Saccharomyces cerevisiae S288C: one gene and its partners. The gene in region 1 interacts genetically with each later gene. Each region holds a gene or a part of one and is shown in the gene's direction. Other genes may lie near its edges. The genes, in order: GIM4, HOS2, YTA7 and MCM21.

The links.
Region 2: mutations in GIM4 (region 1) and HOS2 together harm fitness more than expected from each alone (negative genetic interaction), as found in Saccharomyces cerevisiae (6 studies listed by BioGRID, with this or other methods).
Region 3: mutations in GIM4 (region 1) and YTA7 together harm fitness more than expected from each alone (negative genetic interaction), as found in Saccharomyces cerevisiae (5 studies listed by BioGRID, with this or other methods).
Region 4: mutations in GIM4 (region 1) and MCM21 together harm fitness more than expected from each alone (negative genetic interaction), as found in Saccharomyces cerevisiae (5 studies listed by BioGRID, with this or other methods).

The regions. Positions count from the first base shown.
Region 1 is NC_001137.3:146,359-149,099, forward strand, and holds GIM4 (tubulin-binding prefolding complex subunit GIM4), read left to right. Parts: upstream 1-1,817; coding exon 1,818-1,836; intron 1,837-1,924; coding exon 1,925-2,241; downstream 2,242-2,741. Other genes in the region: VAB2 (Vab2p), read right to left, coding at 1-397; YEA4 (Yea4p), read left to right, coding at 593-1,621; WBP1 (dolichyl-diphosphooligosaccharide-protein glycotransferase), read right to left, coding at 2,364-2,741. UniProt on the Saccharomyces cerevisiae protein: Binds specifically to cytosolic chaperonin (c-CPN) and transfers target proteins to it. Binds to nascent polypeptide chain and promotes folding in an environment in which there are many competing pathways for nonnative proteins.
Region 2 is NC_001139.9:139,797-143,622, reverse strand, and holds HOS2 (histone deacetylase HOS2), read left to right. Parts: upstream 1-1,896; coding exon 1,897-3,255; downstream 3,256-3,826. Other genes in the region: IME4 (mRNA (N6-adenosine)-methyltransferase), read right to left, coding at 1-1,377; YGL193C (uncharacterized protein), read left to right, coding at 1,396-1,707; YGL194C-A (uncharacterized protein), read left to right, coding at 3,662-3,826.
Region 3 is NC_001139.9:1,025,445-1,032,089, forward strand, and holds YTA7 (chromatin segregase YTA7), read left to right. Parts: upstream 1-1,925; coding exon 1,926-6,065; downstream 6,066-6,645. Other genes in the region: FOL2 (GTP cyclohydrolase I), read right to left, coding at 1-291; HUA1 (Hua1p), read right to left, coding at 613-1,209; SLH1 (RNA helicase), read left to right, coding at 6,347-6,645. UniProt on the Saccharomyces cerevisiae protein: Functions as an ATP-dependent nucleosome disassembly factor that helps evict canonical histone H3 from the 5'-end of genes upon their induction.
Region 4 is NC_001136.10:1,102,199-1,105,486, forward strand, and holds MCM21 (Mcm21p), read left to right. Parts: upstream 1-1,559; coding exon 1,560-1,611; intron 1,612-1,694; coding exon 1,695-2,749; downstream 2,750-3,288. Other genes in the region: HIM1 (Him1p), read left to right, coding at 1-1,230; YFT2 (Yft2p), read right to left, coding at 2,805-3,288. UniProt on the Saccharomyces cerevisiae protein: Component of the kinetochore, a multiprotein complex that assembles on centromeric DNA and attaches chromosomes to spindle microtubules, mediating chromosome segregation and sister chromatid segregation during meiosis and mitosis.

The DNA.
Region 1 (2,741 bases):
CGAGTTCTTCATTTAACGAGCCAATTTTTTTTTCCGCATTGGCCAATAGACGATCATTTCCATTGATACAATTAGTAGAAGCCCTTTGCTTTAAGACGTTTTTGTAACTATGTTCTACCTTTTTTAACGACTTTTTAAGTTGAAGTTCAATTTGCTGCATCTGATTGCGTTCCTCGTCAATGTCCCTACTTACAACTTCATAGATGGACAGAATGTCTTTTTTTACTTGTAATAACTCATACTTCGTGCTATTGAAGATAGCAGCCTGTGTTAATTTTTTATGGGATGCAAGGGGAGGTAAGCCCTTTAACTCTTCGTAATAGGAACTGCTTCCAACGGCATCAAATTCTATTCTTGATTTCCATTTCAGTATACCTTTAGTTAAGTCTGCTACCATGCTAGGCACTCTCTGCCTTTCTTATGGTTTGGTTACGCATACTCTTCCTTTATATATTCATTGTCATATTTTAAGGAAGCAATCGCTCCCGACGCAAAGTAAAAATATTCAGTGCTTTGCACTCCAGTTAGAAAAAATGAAGAGAATTCAATTGAGAATAAGCAGGGAAGTAATTGGATTGGGAGAATCTAAAAAATGTGGAACTCACTAAAAGCATTCGCTCTAGTGTTCGGAGGTTGTTGCTCCAATGTTATTACATTTGAAACCTTAATGAGCAACGAAACAGGCAGCATTAATAATCTCATTACTTTTTGTCAATTTTTATTTGTTACATGTCAGGGACTCCCCGAATTTCTGGATGTTCATCAACCTTTCCCTTACTTCAAGCCTCTGAAAACTCCACTTCACGTTTATGTCATTACTGTCGTTTTATTTTATATTTCATCTACGACGAATAATAACGTATTTAAATACAACATATCCATTCCGATTCATATCGTTTTCAGATGCTTCGGAACCGTAATAACCATGTTTACATGCTGGTTATTAAATGGTAGGAAATATACAAAGATTCAGATTTTATCAACACTATTTTTAACCATTGGAGCTATAATTGCCTCATTATTCAAAGATGCTGATTTTCGGTACCAAGATTTGAAACTGCAAGCGTGGAAAATTGGAAGTGACCAATCTGTAGATCTCACTTTTATTTTTGGCATTTGTATACTAGTACTTTCATCATTCACATCATCTTTACTTTCAGCATACAATGAACGTACGTATCAAAAATATGGAAAGCATTGGAAGGAGAATATCTTTTACAGTCATTTTTTATCATTACCTCTCTTTCTATTTAGTCGAAAGCAGTTAATTCACGAATATCGAGTGATGAGAAAGTCTGAAAGAATATTGTGTTCAAATTTTGGAGGGAAGATTCTAGTCCCGCGAGAAGAAACTCTCCTTCTTTTCAATGTGTTAACACAATATTTTTGCGTCAAGGGTGTTAATATCCTCGCCAGTAAAACAAACGCTCTGACACTTTCCATAACATTACTTGTAAGAAAATTTATAAGTCTTTTACTGAGCGTCCGACTTTTCGATAATAACTTGTCATATACTGGCTACATCGGGGTCTACCTAGTCTTTTTTGGTGCCTTTATATACTCGCTGGGATCAATTCACCCCAGGCAAAATGACAAGGGGGCGATAAAGAAAAGTAAATGAACACACATTATAAACTAACCTTAAATCCTACTTGTATGTTCCTTAACTCTATATTAGTGGTGTTGACGTAAGTTTAGATAAAATCGCGAACGCTGCCGCCTGGAAGTAAATGAAAAAAAAAAAAAAAAGAATTCATCACCTAAACTCACTAATCTTTAAAACTCATTCATGAGAAGTGGAGAACTATATTACAGCTATGGAACAAAGGAACAACGGTATGCAAAATTTCGATCTCTGGGTTTTAATAAATGCATGTAGCCAATTTTATCTTACTAACAATCTTTGTGTTTTCTCTGTGTATAGTCTTTCAAGCAAAATATAATGAATACAAACAAATTTTGGAAGAATTGCAAACAAAAATCATAGAATTAGGTCATGACAAAGATGAACACACTATAGTCATAAAAACACTGAAAGACGCTGAGCCGACGAGAAAATGTTACAGGATGATAGGTGGCGCACTTGTTGAAAGTGATGTTCAAACGAGTTTGCCTATTCTTGAAACTAAGAAGGAAAACATAGAAGGTACAATAAGTAAAATGAAAGAAACCTTAATACAAACTGCAAAAGAGTTTGAAAAATGGAAAAAAGACAATAAGATTCAAGTCGTTAAAAACTAAACCATATATAAAATCTATTGCAGTACTTAGTTTGGCAAAAAATATAAATAAACACAATCAGGTACTCTTATGTATTTATGTGAGCCATTTATAAAGAATTATAAAGGATATGAAAACATATATTAGTTTGTTTTTTTGAATGTTTCAAGTTTCTTGCCAACAGAGGAAGTCGTAACGAAAGAAACAACAAAAAATATCCACGCAACAATGACGCCACAAATGGCGCTAATATAAACCCAAGAATTGCTGATTTCCCAACTTCTTGGGTATTCATCATTAGCAAGGTGACGGATAGCTTTAACGTCTTTGTCAGTAGTGAACGACAGGCCAATCTTACGATAGTCAGTGAGGAATGTAAACACTCCATGGCGGTCTGGAAGGATGAATTCACCGGTGGTGTAATACTGAGTTTCAGAATCGTTTCCGCTTGGCGACAATGTTAGACGGTAGTACGGATCCACTTGTCTTAGTTCAAATTGGATATCATCAGCGATATGTGG
Region 2 (3,826 bases), on another chromosome or scaffold:
CATTGATACGATCAAATCGACGTCAATATGTTTGTTGATCCACTTTGGATTACCCTTTAAGCCCACCAATAAATGCTCCTTAGAATGATTTAACCAATGACCCGTACGACCTGTAACAATTGTTCTACCCAGTTGGTTTGTCTTTATCCATGAAACTTCATTTATCACGTTGTAACCCCAGTTATTCAAAGACTCTTTACCCAATTCTATAGCTCTACCCGTCACCCAAAGAAAAATAATACCTTCATCTTGTAGTTCGTGCAAAGGCAAACCTAATAGTTCAATATCGTTGCAAGTACCGTATGGTAGGTTCATATGGATATTCCATGCAGGATCTGCAATAACTACCGAAAACTTTCCAAGAACCCTAAAATCAAATTTCCGCACATCGCAACGGATCCACTGTGCAGGTAAAGCCTTTTTGATACAATGTGCGGAGCAATTGCCCAGAGTATAAAATGGAATGGAAACGTTTGACCGTATTCTTTTATTTTCACTCGCAGTTTCACGATCAGCTCGCTCTTGCAAGCATGACGGAATATATTGCAGGTAATGAATGTATCGACACGTATTTAATTTATGACAGGTATCCAAATAGGAACAATCTCCTAACGAAATATCAGTTTGTGGTTTGATATTAGGGATAAAGTGAATTTTTGATTGAATGCACTCAATTAATCCTGGGTGATTTTCCTGACATGCGGATATTTTGGACCATTGTAAAGAAACGATTTTGTTATTGACAATGTACACCGAGGTGGACAATAGAGATGCATGCGAATAGTCACTACATATCGGGATGTATTCAATGACCTCGGTCGTGTATTTGGCTCTTTCTTTAGCAAGCTGAAAAGATGATGGTTTTTCCCTCAATAAATTTTGTAAGCGATTGCTCAGTTGTTCACGTGGTAACCCCTGGTTGCTGACGTTAACGTCCCAGTTCAGGACTCCAAGCAGTCTACCCAGCAGTTGGTCTTTTTCCGAATCAGCTTCCGGTTTTGTTGTTAAACTCGACACTTTTTCTTCACATGAAGAACTGGACGATTTTAATGTATAGTAGAAGGCATGGAACTTGTTATAGAGAATTTTCAAGGAAAAAACGTCCAGGTAAACAATTTTTTCTGGCCTATCTGCCACTAATAGATTCTGGTCAAATTGAATGGACTGCGGCGTTGCAAATATAATATCCTGAAGATCATTCCAAAACTGTTCAAACTGTAAGACCTCGTCTTTATCGTTTCTCAACTTCTGCATCTCATCATCGTATCCGCCACTGATGTACAGTGAATACACATCTTTGAGCTGTCCAGAAAGCGGTGCTCTTAGGATGTCATCATAATTCTGGATCAGAAAATGTACTAGTTTATCGTTAATCATAGCCTGCTTACAACTTTTATGAATTCAAGTCTGAATGCCAATTCTTATTTTTTTCGAAAACCCCCAATGCTAACTTATATGGTCCGTTTTCTTTACTGTTATCCATCTCCCTTTCCTATAGCTCCAGCGGTTACCGATCTTCCAGAATGCCGGGGAGATCTTTCTCTTTCTTTGTTTATAACAAGTTTCACAAGCACGAAAGAAAGAACAATACTGTACGCCAAAAGCCGCCTAAAGACGCATATTCCCGTCAATTTATGTGACCGGTACCACTATATACCTAAGGCACCTCTATACCAATGTAGAATGCCCTGTTTATACTCTATATAGAGGATTCTCGATGTTCTTTGGGGCATCGTTAAACGTGATATTCCTACTATGTTACTAAATGTTGAACTGAAAGCATCTTGAAACGATTCTAATCAGTTTTAGGTGTGTCGCCAATGTACAGTTATAGAAAAGACGCCAGATTACTCAAGTACGTTAAAATCAGGTATCAAGTGAATAACAACACGCAACATGTCTGGAACATTTAGTTATGATGTGAAAACAAAGGAGAACGAACCATTATTTGAGTTTAATTCTGCTTATTCTCCCAGGGTATCGTATCATTTTAACTCCAAAGTTTCACATTACCATTATGGTGTTAAGCATCCAATGAAGCCGTTTCGGTTAATGCTAACGGATCACCTAGTTTCCTCTTATGGATTGCACAAGATTATGGACCTTTATGAAACAAGAAGCGCTACCAGAGACGAATTACTACAATTTCACTCGGAAGACTACGTGAATTTTCTCTCGAAGGTTTCACCAGAAAATGCAAACAAACTGCCCAGAGGCACACTTGAAAATTTTAACATTGGAGACGACTGTCCTATTTTTCAAAATTTATATGATTATACAACACTATACACTGGTGCGAGCCTTGACGCCACCAGGAAACTAATCAACAATCAATCGGACATAGCGATAAATTGGTCTGGTGGTCTTCATCATGCAAAAAAGAATAGTCCATCTGGGTTTTGCTATGTAAATGATATTGTGCTTTCTATTTTGAACTTATTACGATATCACCCAAGAATCCTTTATATCGATATCGACTTACATCACGGCGATGGTGTCCAGGAGGCATTTTACACCACAGATAGGGTCTTCACGTTGTCTTTTCATAAATATAATGGCGAATTTTTCCCAGGAACTGGTGATCTGACAGAAATTGGTTGCGACAAAGGAAAACATTTCGCATTAAATGTACCCCTAGAAGATGGCATAGATGACGACTCATATATAAACCTTTTCAAGTCAATTGTAGATCCTCTAATAATGACTTTCAAACCAACACTTATTGTCCAACAATGCGGTGCGGATTCCTTAGGTCATGATCGCTTAGGATGCTTCAATTTAAATATAAAGGCACATGGAGAATGCGTAAAATTTGTCAAATCATTTGGTCTACCAATGCTAGTAGTGGGCGGTGGAGGTTATACACCTAGAAATGTATCACGGCTTTGGACCTACGAGACAGGAATTTTAAATGATGTCTTGCTACCAGAAGACATCCCCGAAGATATCCCATTCCGGGACTCATTCGGGCCGGATTATTCACTTTATCCTATGTTAGATGACTTATACGAAAACAAAAACAGTAAAAAACTACTGGAAGACATTAGAATACGATGTCTAGAAAATATCAGATACTTGCAAGGAGCACCAAGTGTCAGAATGGATGCTGAATGCATACCGACACAAGATATAAGTGCCCTGACAGAAGAAGAGGATAAAATCATTCAAGAAATGAATGAAGAAACAGAAGCAGACAGTTCAAATAGGCTAGAAGAAATGGAAAAAGAAAACAGTGGATTGATTGCCTTTTCATAGTTTAAGAGTTTGCTATTCGGTTAATCTCCCGTTTTTTTTTTTTTTTTTTTTTTTATTTTCCTTTTTTTTTTTTTAATGTTTTTAGCATATTATGTAGAGTGTTAAGGCCTTAAAAGTTATTTGCATCATTGTTAAAAATGACATGTATTGTATAAGAGTTCGGCTCTTCGATGCCGTCAGAAACATTTTTGGAAGGTGCACTCCGTATTCGAGACACTTCTGAAACGGACAAGTCACCAAACTACTCTGAAAACAACAAAAAAAAGCCTTTTCTTATAATTTGAAAGCTTCTCCCGCAGCATTATCGATATCGTGAAACTTCCAAAATCTTTCTTAATTAAACCGGACATCAGTGTCTACAACATTAGAGCAAGTCACTCAGTTCATGTAATACATCTGGACAATTATGTCTAATAAAGAGATAACTTGTATCAAACCGTTTAAAATTATTGCTCTAATTTTATTGATAGTTCTAATAATAAACCTCTCTTATAAGTTATTTCTGAGACGCTATTTAAAGTCGACAGTTATTTGGTGTTTAGGAATCGCCAATACAGATCGTAACGATATG
Region 3 (6,645 bases), on another chromosome or scaffold:
TTTAGTGAAATAAAGCATGGCTTTAGCGTATCTTTGTGGAGTATCTAGTAGACCTTCTCTGTTGACATCTTCACCCAGTTCGGTCAAAATTGTCTTGATAGCGCCTGAAATGCGTTGAATTCGTTCCTTTTCCTCCTCTTCAGTTTCCTCTGCACGTTGTCTTGTACCCACACTTGGCCAAGAAAACCCATCTCTCTCGACAGGAGGGTTTAAAGTGTATGGAGAGGTAGGTCTAATGTTTAACGGGGTTTCATGTCTTTCTATCTCTTGCACTAATTGGATGTTATGCATTTTGGGATGATTGAAAGTATTGGTTCTAACAAAAAATGAGTCACGCACGCACAATCACGATTGAGGATGGAGTCGTATAATATTTTATGAACGGATGCTATATCGATCAGACGGTTGGCACCGTAAAAATAAATGAAAGAAGTTAAAGAAGGGCAAATCAGTCGGATTATGTGATAAGTATGTAATAGACATGTTTGAAAATTAGGAGCATTAAAATATGCTTTTCATCCTACAGTTGTTCGGTCTTTTTTCTTTTCGGTGAGCGACACAGCTTTTCTACTAAGGCCGTACCGGGTCATCCAAATCCTAAATTTTCATGCGCTAATAGCGTTGAGGCTGGGTGATAATTCTGCCTACACCATGACAAAGAGGACATATATCTTCGTCCAACAGGAATCTGGTGCGTCCGGACCCTCTGCATTCACCACATAGCACGCCACCCAGGCGAGGATCCCCTGGTTGAACGTACAAGGGCCTATTACCCTGCCATGCGTTGGTGTACACGGGCATTGTATAGTTTGTGTAATATGTCGGTGCAGAAACAACGTTATTTTGAGGTGCAAACCTCCTCCAACACGACTTGCAAGATCGTCCATTCTTCAACTTGTAACCCGTATTTCCACACTTGGAACAGTAAAACCTGGGAGGGTATGTCCAGGGCAAGCTAGGATTCTGTTGTGGCCTCGGTGGAGGCCGTGGTTGGGAACTTGTAGGCGTATAAGAGTGTGAGTGAGCATATGTTTGGGATGAGGACGTTGCTGGCATTGTCGAGGGCCTTTGGTGGGGTCTTGATTGGTGCCCTTGCGCCAAGTTAGCTGCTGGTCTTGGTGGTCGTGGCGGTTGAGATTGCAATCTCTCCTCTTCCTTGATTACGTCCTCGTAGCTCGGCAGTTCATCATCATGCGTGTCTTTAGACATAACAGTATGGTTTATACTCGTTTTATGGGTATTTTTTGGGACTGCTTAGTTCTTGACTTGAAGCCTCTTTATTCCCTTGATGGAAGTGTCACTATTAAAGATGGAGGCGGAGGCTATACCGTAGAAAATGATATGTTTGTATGTTCTGCTCTCTTCCCTCTATTAAAAGGGGGAAAGAGAAAAATAAATGGAAAAAAGCGATTAAGCCATAGGGAAAACACTCTTGTGGTGGCAAAGCATCAGATAGGCAGGCAGGAGGAAATGGCAGTGAAGTGTCAAACCAAGCATACTTTCACTGGATTGATTTGAAAGTTAATGCTGAGTTTGAGATGTTTTAAAGAGGAACTGTGGTGATCGGTTATTTCTATTCGCTTTTGTGTGCGTCTTTTCATCGTTTGCAGCTGAACTTGTTGAGGCATTAGCCGCTGAGGAATTTTTTTCTGCCTCTATAAACTTGTTTATTATCACTAAAAACGTACCGTCTGTTATTTTGTACGGCCATGTGTGCGAAAAAGGACAAAGTGGTAGCGAAAGAGCAATATTGGGACGAAAAGGAGCAGAAAAGGAACTGCGTAGGGTCTTAAATAAAGCAAAACGTCTGAAGGATCTTGCGTACTCCTTACTAACCCATTGTTGTTTTCGACAGTCATAAAAAGAAGTTACCACGGTCTATTTCTCTCTTCTCGCTATTTATTCACAATTGGTGCAGAAAGAACATGGCACGAAATTTAAGGAATAGACGCGGTAGCGACGTTGAAGATGCAAGCAACGCAAAGGTTGGGTATGAAACACAGATTAAAGACGAAAATGGCATAATCCATACAACAACTCGCTCTTTGAGAAAAATAAACTACGCAGAAATTGAGAAAGTGTTTGATTTTTTGGAAGATGACCAGGTCATGGACAAAGATGAGACGCCCGTTGATGTTACTAGTGATGAACATCATAACAACAACCAGAAAGGCGATGATGAAGACGATGATGTTGATCTTGTATCACCGCACGAAAACGCCAGAACGAACGAAGAGCTTACTAATGAAAGGAACTTGAGAAAAAGAAAAGCGCATGATCCAGAAGAAGATGACGAAAGTTTTCATGAGGAAGATGTCGACGATGATGAAGAGGAGGAAGAAGCAGACGAATTTGAAGATGAGTATTTGGATGAAGACTCGAAGGATAACAACCGTCGGCGCAGAGCGGCCGATAGGAAATTTGTAGTACCAGACCCTGATGACGATGAAGAATACGATGAGGATGACGAAGAAGGAGACAGAATAAGCCATTCGGCTTCTTCTAAACGTTTGAAAAGGGCAAATTCTCGAAGAACAAGATCGTCACGTCACCCAGAAACTCCACCACCGGTAAGAAGAGCTTTAAGAAGTAGGACAAGACATTCGCGTACTTCAAATGAAGAAAATGACGATGAGAATGATAATAGCAGGAATGAAGCGTTAACTTTAGCTGATGAAATTAGAGAGTTACAGGAAGATAGTCCTATCAGGGAAAAAAGATTTCTTCGCGAAAGAACTAAGCCGGTAAATTACAAATTACCACCACCACTAACTGCTAGCAACGCAGAAGAATTTATAGATAAGAATAACAATGCACTTTCTTTTCATAACCCATCACCTGCACGGCGTGGTCGCGGTGGTTGGAATGCTAGTCAAAATTCTGGTCCCACAAGAAGGCTTTTTCCCACTGGTGGACCTTTTGGTGGCAATGACGTAACTACAATATTTGGTAAGAATACTAATTTTTACAACCAAGTCCCATCTGCATTCAGTGATAATAACAACAATAAATTAATACTGGATTCAGACTCTTCCGATGATGAGATATTACCTCTTGGCGTGACACCGAAAACAAAGAAAGAGAACACGCAAAAAAAGAAGAAGAAAAAACCAGAAATTGCAGACCTCGATCCATTAGGCGTAGACATGAATGTAAATTTTGACGATATAGGTGGTTTAGACAACTACATTGACCAATTAAAGGAAATGGTGGCCTTACCACTATTATACCCAGAATTGTATCAAAATTTTAATATCACGCCCCCAAGGGGTGTTCTTTTCCATGGTCCTCCTGGTACGGGTAAAACACTTATGGCAAGAGCGTTAGCAGCAAGTTGTTCTTCTGATGAAAGGAAGATCACATTTTTTATGCGTAAAGGTGCAGATATTTTATCCAAGTGGGTTGGTGAAGCTGAAAGACAACTCCGTTTGTTATTCGAAGAAGCTAAAAAACATCAACCTTCCATCATTTTTTTTGATGAAATCGACGGATTAGCGCCTGTGAGAAGTTCCAAACAAGAACAGATCCATGCTAGTATTGTTTCCACATTATTAGCGCTGATGGATGGTATGGACAATAGAGGCCAAGTCATTGTCATCGGAGCCACAAATCGACCCGATGCAGTGGATCCCGCATTAAGAAGGCCGGGAAGATTTGATAGAGAATTTTATTTTCCATTACCTGATGTTAAAGCACGTTTTAAAATTTTGCAAATTCAGACCAGGAAATGGAGTTCACCGTTGTCAACCAACTTCATTGATAAATTGGCTTTTTTGACCAAAGGATATGGTGGTGCTGATCTGAGGTCCCTATGCACTGAGGCTGCACTAATAAGTATACAAAGAAGCTTTCCTCAAATTTATAGGTCAAATGATAAACTCTTGGTGGACCCTTCTAAGATTAAAGTCAAAGTTAGCGATTTCATGTTAGCTTTGAAAAAAATTGTTCCGTCATCTGCGAGATCTACTGGTAGTTCTCCTCAGCCACTACCTGAATTAATCAAACCATTACTGGCAGATCAACTTAATAATTTAAAGAACAAGCTGGATTATATGCTGAACATTAAAGACACAACTTTTCAGAGAAACACATCATTGCTACAAAATTTCATCGATTATGAAGAATACAGTGGAGAGGAAGAAGAGCATGACAAATATGGAGGAAATGAAGATACATCCAGTTTTAGATCATATGAGTTTTTCGAATCGATGGCGGAATCACAAATTTGTAAACCTCGGTTATTAATAAATGGGCCCAAGGGAAATGGTCAACAATATGTCGGAGCCGCAATTTTAAATTATTTAGAAGAATTCAACGTCCAAAACCTGGACCTTGCCTCTTTGGTTTCGGAAAGTTCTAGGACTATTGAAGCTGCTGTAGTGCAAAGTTTTATGGAAGCAAAGAAAAGACAGCCCTCAGTTGTATTTATTCCTAATTTAGACATTTGGATCAACACTATTCCAGAAAACGTTATTTTAGTCTTATCAGGTTTGTTCAGATCTTTACAAAGCAATGAAAAAATTCTTCTATTATGCTTAGCTGAAAATCTTGATATATCTGAAGTTAAAAATGGTATTTTATCTGATTTTGCTTTTGATAAAAATATCTTTCAACTGCATAAACCATCCAAAGAGAATATAACGAGGTATTTTTCTAATTTAATTGAACTACTGAAAACAAAGCCAAGTGATATTCCCATGAAAAAGAGAAGAGTCAAACCGTTACCTGAATTACAAAAAGTAACTTCAAACGCAGCTCCAACAAATTTTGATGAAAATGGTGAGCCACTGTCTGAAAAAGTGGTATTAAGAAGGAAGTTGAAATCTTTTCAACACCAAGATATGAGATTGAAAAATGTGTTAAAAATCAAACTCTCAGGCTTGATGGATCTTTTTAAAAACAGATATAAAAGGTTTAGAAAACCACCTATTGATGATGCCTTCTTGGTTCATCTTTTCGAACCAGAGACAAGCAATGATCCCAATTGGCAACCTGCATATATAAAAGATGAGAACATGATTCTGGAGGTTTCAACAGGGCGAAAGTTTTTTAACATGGATTTGGATATTGTCGAAGAGAGACTTTGGAATGGCTATTACTCAGAACCAAAACAGTTTTTAAAAGACATTGAACTGATATACAGGGATGCAAATACCATTGGGGACAGAGAACGTGTCATTAAGGCCTCTGAGATGTTTGCCAACGCGCAAATGGGTATCGAAGAAATTTCAACCCCGGATTTTATTCAAGAGTGTAAAGCTACTCGCCAAAGGGATTTGGAAAGGCAGGAACTTTTCTTAGAAGATGAAGAGAAAAGAGCTGCAATGGAATTAGAAGCCAAAGAACAGAGTCAAGAAAATATACTGCAAGAACCTGATTTAAAGGATAACAAGGCTAATGAGTTTGGTGTAGCTGCTGGTAATCAATTGCAAGCTCAGCTGCAAACAACTATCAATACAGCCTCTATCGTTAATAACAGCGAGGTCCCTCAACCAATTGATACCAACCTGTATAAAAAGGAGATTCCTGCGGCAATTCCCTCTGCAGTAGATAAAGAAAAAGCGGTCATCCCTGAGGATAGCGGTGCAAATGAAGAATACACAACGGAACTGATACAGGCCACTTGCACGTCAGAGATAACCACCGATGATGATGAAAGGGCCAGAAAAGAACCAAAAGAGAATGAAGACTCTTTGCAAACGCAGGTTACGGAAGAAAACTTCAGCAAAATAGACGCTAATACTAATAATATAAATCACGTAAAGGAAATTCAATCGGTTAACAAACCAAATTCCCTCCACGAAACGGTAGAAAAAAGGGAACGAAGTCCGATACCAAAAGAGGTTGTGGAACCGGAGCAAGGGAAGAAGAGCGACAAGGAGCTTATTTTGACGCCCGAACAAATAAAAAAAGTATCTGCATGCTTAATCGAACACTGTCAGAATTTTACGGTTTCTCAATTAGAAGATGTTCATTCGTCCGTTGCAAAAATAATATGGAAAAGTAAATCAGCATGGGATAAAACAGGAACTGTCGATGAAATAATAAAATTTTTATCTGAATAAGCAGGAGTCCATAATGTTTATATAATTCTTAAATGTAGTTAGTTCATATACATGAATGTGCACTTTTCTTGAAAAGAAATAGATTTAAAACCACACCTTGTATATATATTATGCTTTTTTCCACTACTTTATTTTAACAGTCACTGTTCTGGCATACGTTTCGGGTAATGACCGAGAATGGAATATGTATTGAACATATTGAAATTAAACATGTTCATAATATCTTCTAACACCATTGGAATTGTGAGAAGTAGATCCGTACCATCAATAGCCGGCTCAAGATGTCAACTGAATACTCTGCTGATTCATCTAAATCATTTATGATTGCAATGCAATCTATGATTGATACTTCACAAACCTTTAATCTAGATAGATCGAAAATCTCTTTACCAGATTTTGATGACGAGCTAAAAAAAGTCCAAAAGGATGAACAAAATCAAAGAACTGAACTAACTGTTCTCTCACAAGATAGAAATGATTGGGATGATATATTTGAGGAGTTTAAAGACATTTCATTTGCTCAACTGCAATCTATAATTGATTCATACAAAACAAAGAATGCAGTTGCAGTATATAAAAA
Region 4 (3,288 bases), on another chromosome or scaffold:
AACACGTTTACAGATTACGTTTTATTGTTTGGATCATCTAGTTTAGTAGGAAAAGGTATTTTAGAGAACCTGTTGGACATAAATTTATATATTAAAAATGTTTCGGACCTACAAGGCAAGCTTGATAGCTTAAGTGAAATAAAGGGAAATGTCGTTCTCAATAAACATGTCTTTTGTGTTAATAGAAGGTGCATCAATGAGGAGAAATCATTTATGAAGACCATTGATTATATAAATATGAGATCAGTTACTTGGCAAGGTGGCAGATATTACTTGAGAAGCAGGAAAGAAAAAGACACTGAAAAAGTACCGTCTAGTCCTAATACTTTTTGTTATGATAATTTTGAAGAAGGATTTATTAAAAATACGCCTGAAGAGAGGGGAAAAGATGGTTATTCTTTTGTTTATAATCAGAAACAGTTCAGTTACACACTACATTATGCATGCGGAAAGGAAAAAGGTATTGAGATCATTTGTAATTTTACTGTAACGCAATTGATCATCCCCAGATCTGAAACTTGGCCAAAATTGCTTCCACGGATATTCTCAGGAACACAAAAGCTGGAAAAGTTTGACATTGACAACAAAAATTACGTTCCCGGTAGAAGTTTGCCTAGTCTGTGTGATATTAGCACTATGGTGTGCTCTTTGGGCTCCACCTCAGCTAGAGTGCGGAGAACTCAGGTACCAAGTTCCTTTGCTGACTATTACTTACCTTTTAATTTAGCACAAGAATTCACGAATACAACTAACAAAAGGTTGGTGGTTACAACTGCCTTTAATAATGATTTTCTTAGTAAAACTTTCGAGTATTTTAGAATAAAAGCTAAATTAGAAAATGACTTGGATGAAGCTTTGCCAAATAAGCTAAAGGAGCTAGTTATTTTGAGGCCAGGTCCGATGTGTGGACAGCACGGAAATCCTATAAACGTTGAATTGGGTAAAGAAAACTCCACTTTCTTGGAAAAAATTTTTTATTATCCTCACTATCTTTTAGTTTATAAAAAGAAATATATCAGTGAGGCCAGAAGGATTGGCTTAAGAACAAAGTTAAGCGAAATAATTGCTTCCAGTATATATAGGATGCCAGGATCTGCATTATTAGGATACGCTGTCCCAGTTTCAAAGGTTTCTTATGTTGCCTCTTTGATGGCGATTGAAAGGAAAAGTAAAGAGGCGGGACCTAAGCTGGAAGTAATTAGCAGTTATCAAATTGATATGATTGTGTGAACAGTCAGTCTTTTCTTTTGATAGATGCGAAGTTATTAAATAAATAGTAGCCTAATACATAAAAGAACCACTATATCATGGATTCGATACCTGGGCCGTCTTAAATTTTTATCGCATTGAATATGCAAACTTTATGTATTGTTTTACTAATCGCCAGTAATGGCCGACCAATTCTATGATAGATCTTCCCTAAGTTTATAATGATGGTAAGAAAACGCGCATATTTCAAAACTGAAGAAAAAACAAACAAAAGCCATATGGATAATGAGGGGAAAATGTGATTTCTTTACTTGAGCAATTCTTTCAAACTATCAGTAACGCTCCTGGCAATGAGTAGAATCGATGATTTACAGCAGGACATTGAATCTTTACTCAGTGAAAGTATGTGATTTTGAGGCTGTAACAATTTTCTTTCTTTTAAAAAAATGATTAAGTTGAACACTAACATAGTAGAATCTTCACAGTCAATTCATTAGAAGAAAGTCGTGAGAAGCTCAAAGCGAAGATAAAAGATAAAAGAAAAAATGAGGAGAGCGCTAATCCTATAGTACAAGAATTTGAAGATCTATTCGATCAATTCCCACAGTTGAATAATTTTTTATTTAATGAGCATCCAGAATTGGAAGAGACAGATGACAAGGACATATCAAGGGCGCAAGCGGATATACCAGCAACGCCAATACCGTATGAACCAAAGAAAAGAGCTAAGCTGGAGAATGAGGAAATTTTACCAGAACAAGAATGGGTTTTAAAGACCCAGCCAATGGTTCAGCATCAAATGTTTGATCCTGGGGTGGCAGATTTATTGGATACAGACATTCTAACGTCACCTTCAAAAAGAAAGCGAAAACTAAAAATAGACGATATTAGTACAAGTGATAGAAGTGAGTTGGAAGATTATATTGTCCTGGAAAATGTTTATAGAATGTTTGGTATAACATTTTTCCCTCTTGTGGACCCTATTGACCTTAAGATAAAAGATGCTAGCGGTGAAATATTTGTTGATAGAGAAATGCTGGGAATACGACTGGAAGTCTTCAGCGAACGGACATCCCAATTTGAAAAACCTCACTATGTATTGTTGAAAAAGAGGATCAAATCGAATAGTTGGTTCCTGTTCAAGCATACAATCCCGAGTTTCATTGATGTCCAAGGTATATTTGATGACACCAATGGGGGACTAGTGATATCTCATGATGACGCCTATTTATTTGCTAAAAGAGTCTTCCTGCAACTTGTGGAAGTACAGAAAAGACGACAGATTTTTAAGGACTTAGAAGCTAAGAAGATAATCCACGACTTAGATTTAGATTTAGAATCTTCAATGGTTTCGTTTTTTGTGAAGGATATTAAAGTCGAGTTGTTTGTAAAACAAAATGAAATAGTTTCATGTTCAATATTGGACGATATTCATGATTTTAGTCAAAATAATAAAAGTAAATGGGAAATTGCATTGCTCGGTTCTTTGGATGATTTGGAATTAAAATTAAACCATTCTTTCGCGACAATATTCAAGTGAATGTTAACAAAAATATACTTTATAGAAAGAGGATAGAGCTAATTTTCTCTGTTTATCATAGATATAAGTAATTGTGTAGTATCCCAATTTTGGGTAGAATGTGGTATATGAAAACAGGGCATATGAAACCCATAAGGCAACCTAACACTTTTTCCAAGATAGTATGATAATAAATAGCGGTAACCCAGAGAATACATATCCAAATTACTAGGACAGCGCAAACAATGGCAAGGCAAGCTCGTACCCACTTATTCACAACCCAAAACATATCTTCAGCTTGAACAAATCTACTGAATAAGTGAAGTTCCATCCAAAGAATCATGCTTATACTCACAAGAAAGCAGAAGTGTCCACTAATGTCAAACCCACCATCCCATTTCCCATTTTCTAGACGGCACTTTTCAGCTGATGTCGTTTTACTACCAGAACTGCATTCTCCCCCTGTCCAAATGAAAACATGATCGATAAATTGGAAATTCAAAAACAATAATAGATATTTTAGAACGAACTTGCAAGCATATTGAGTGATCATAATACTG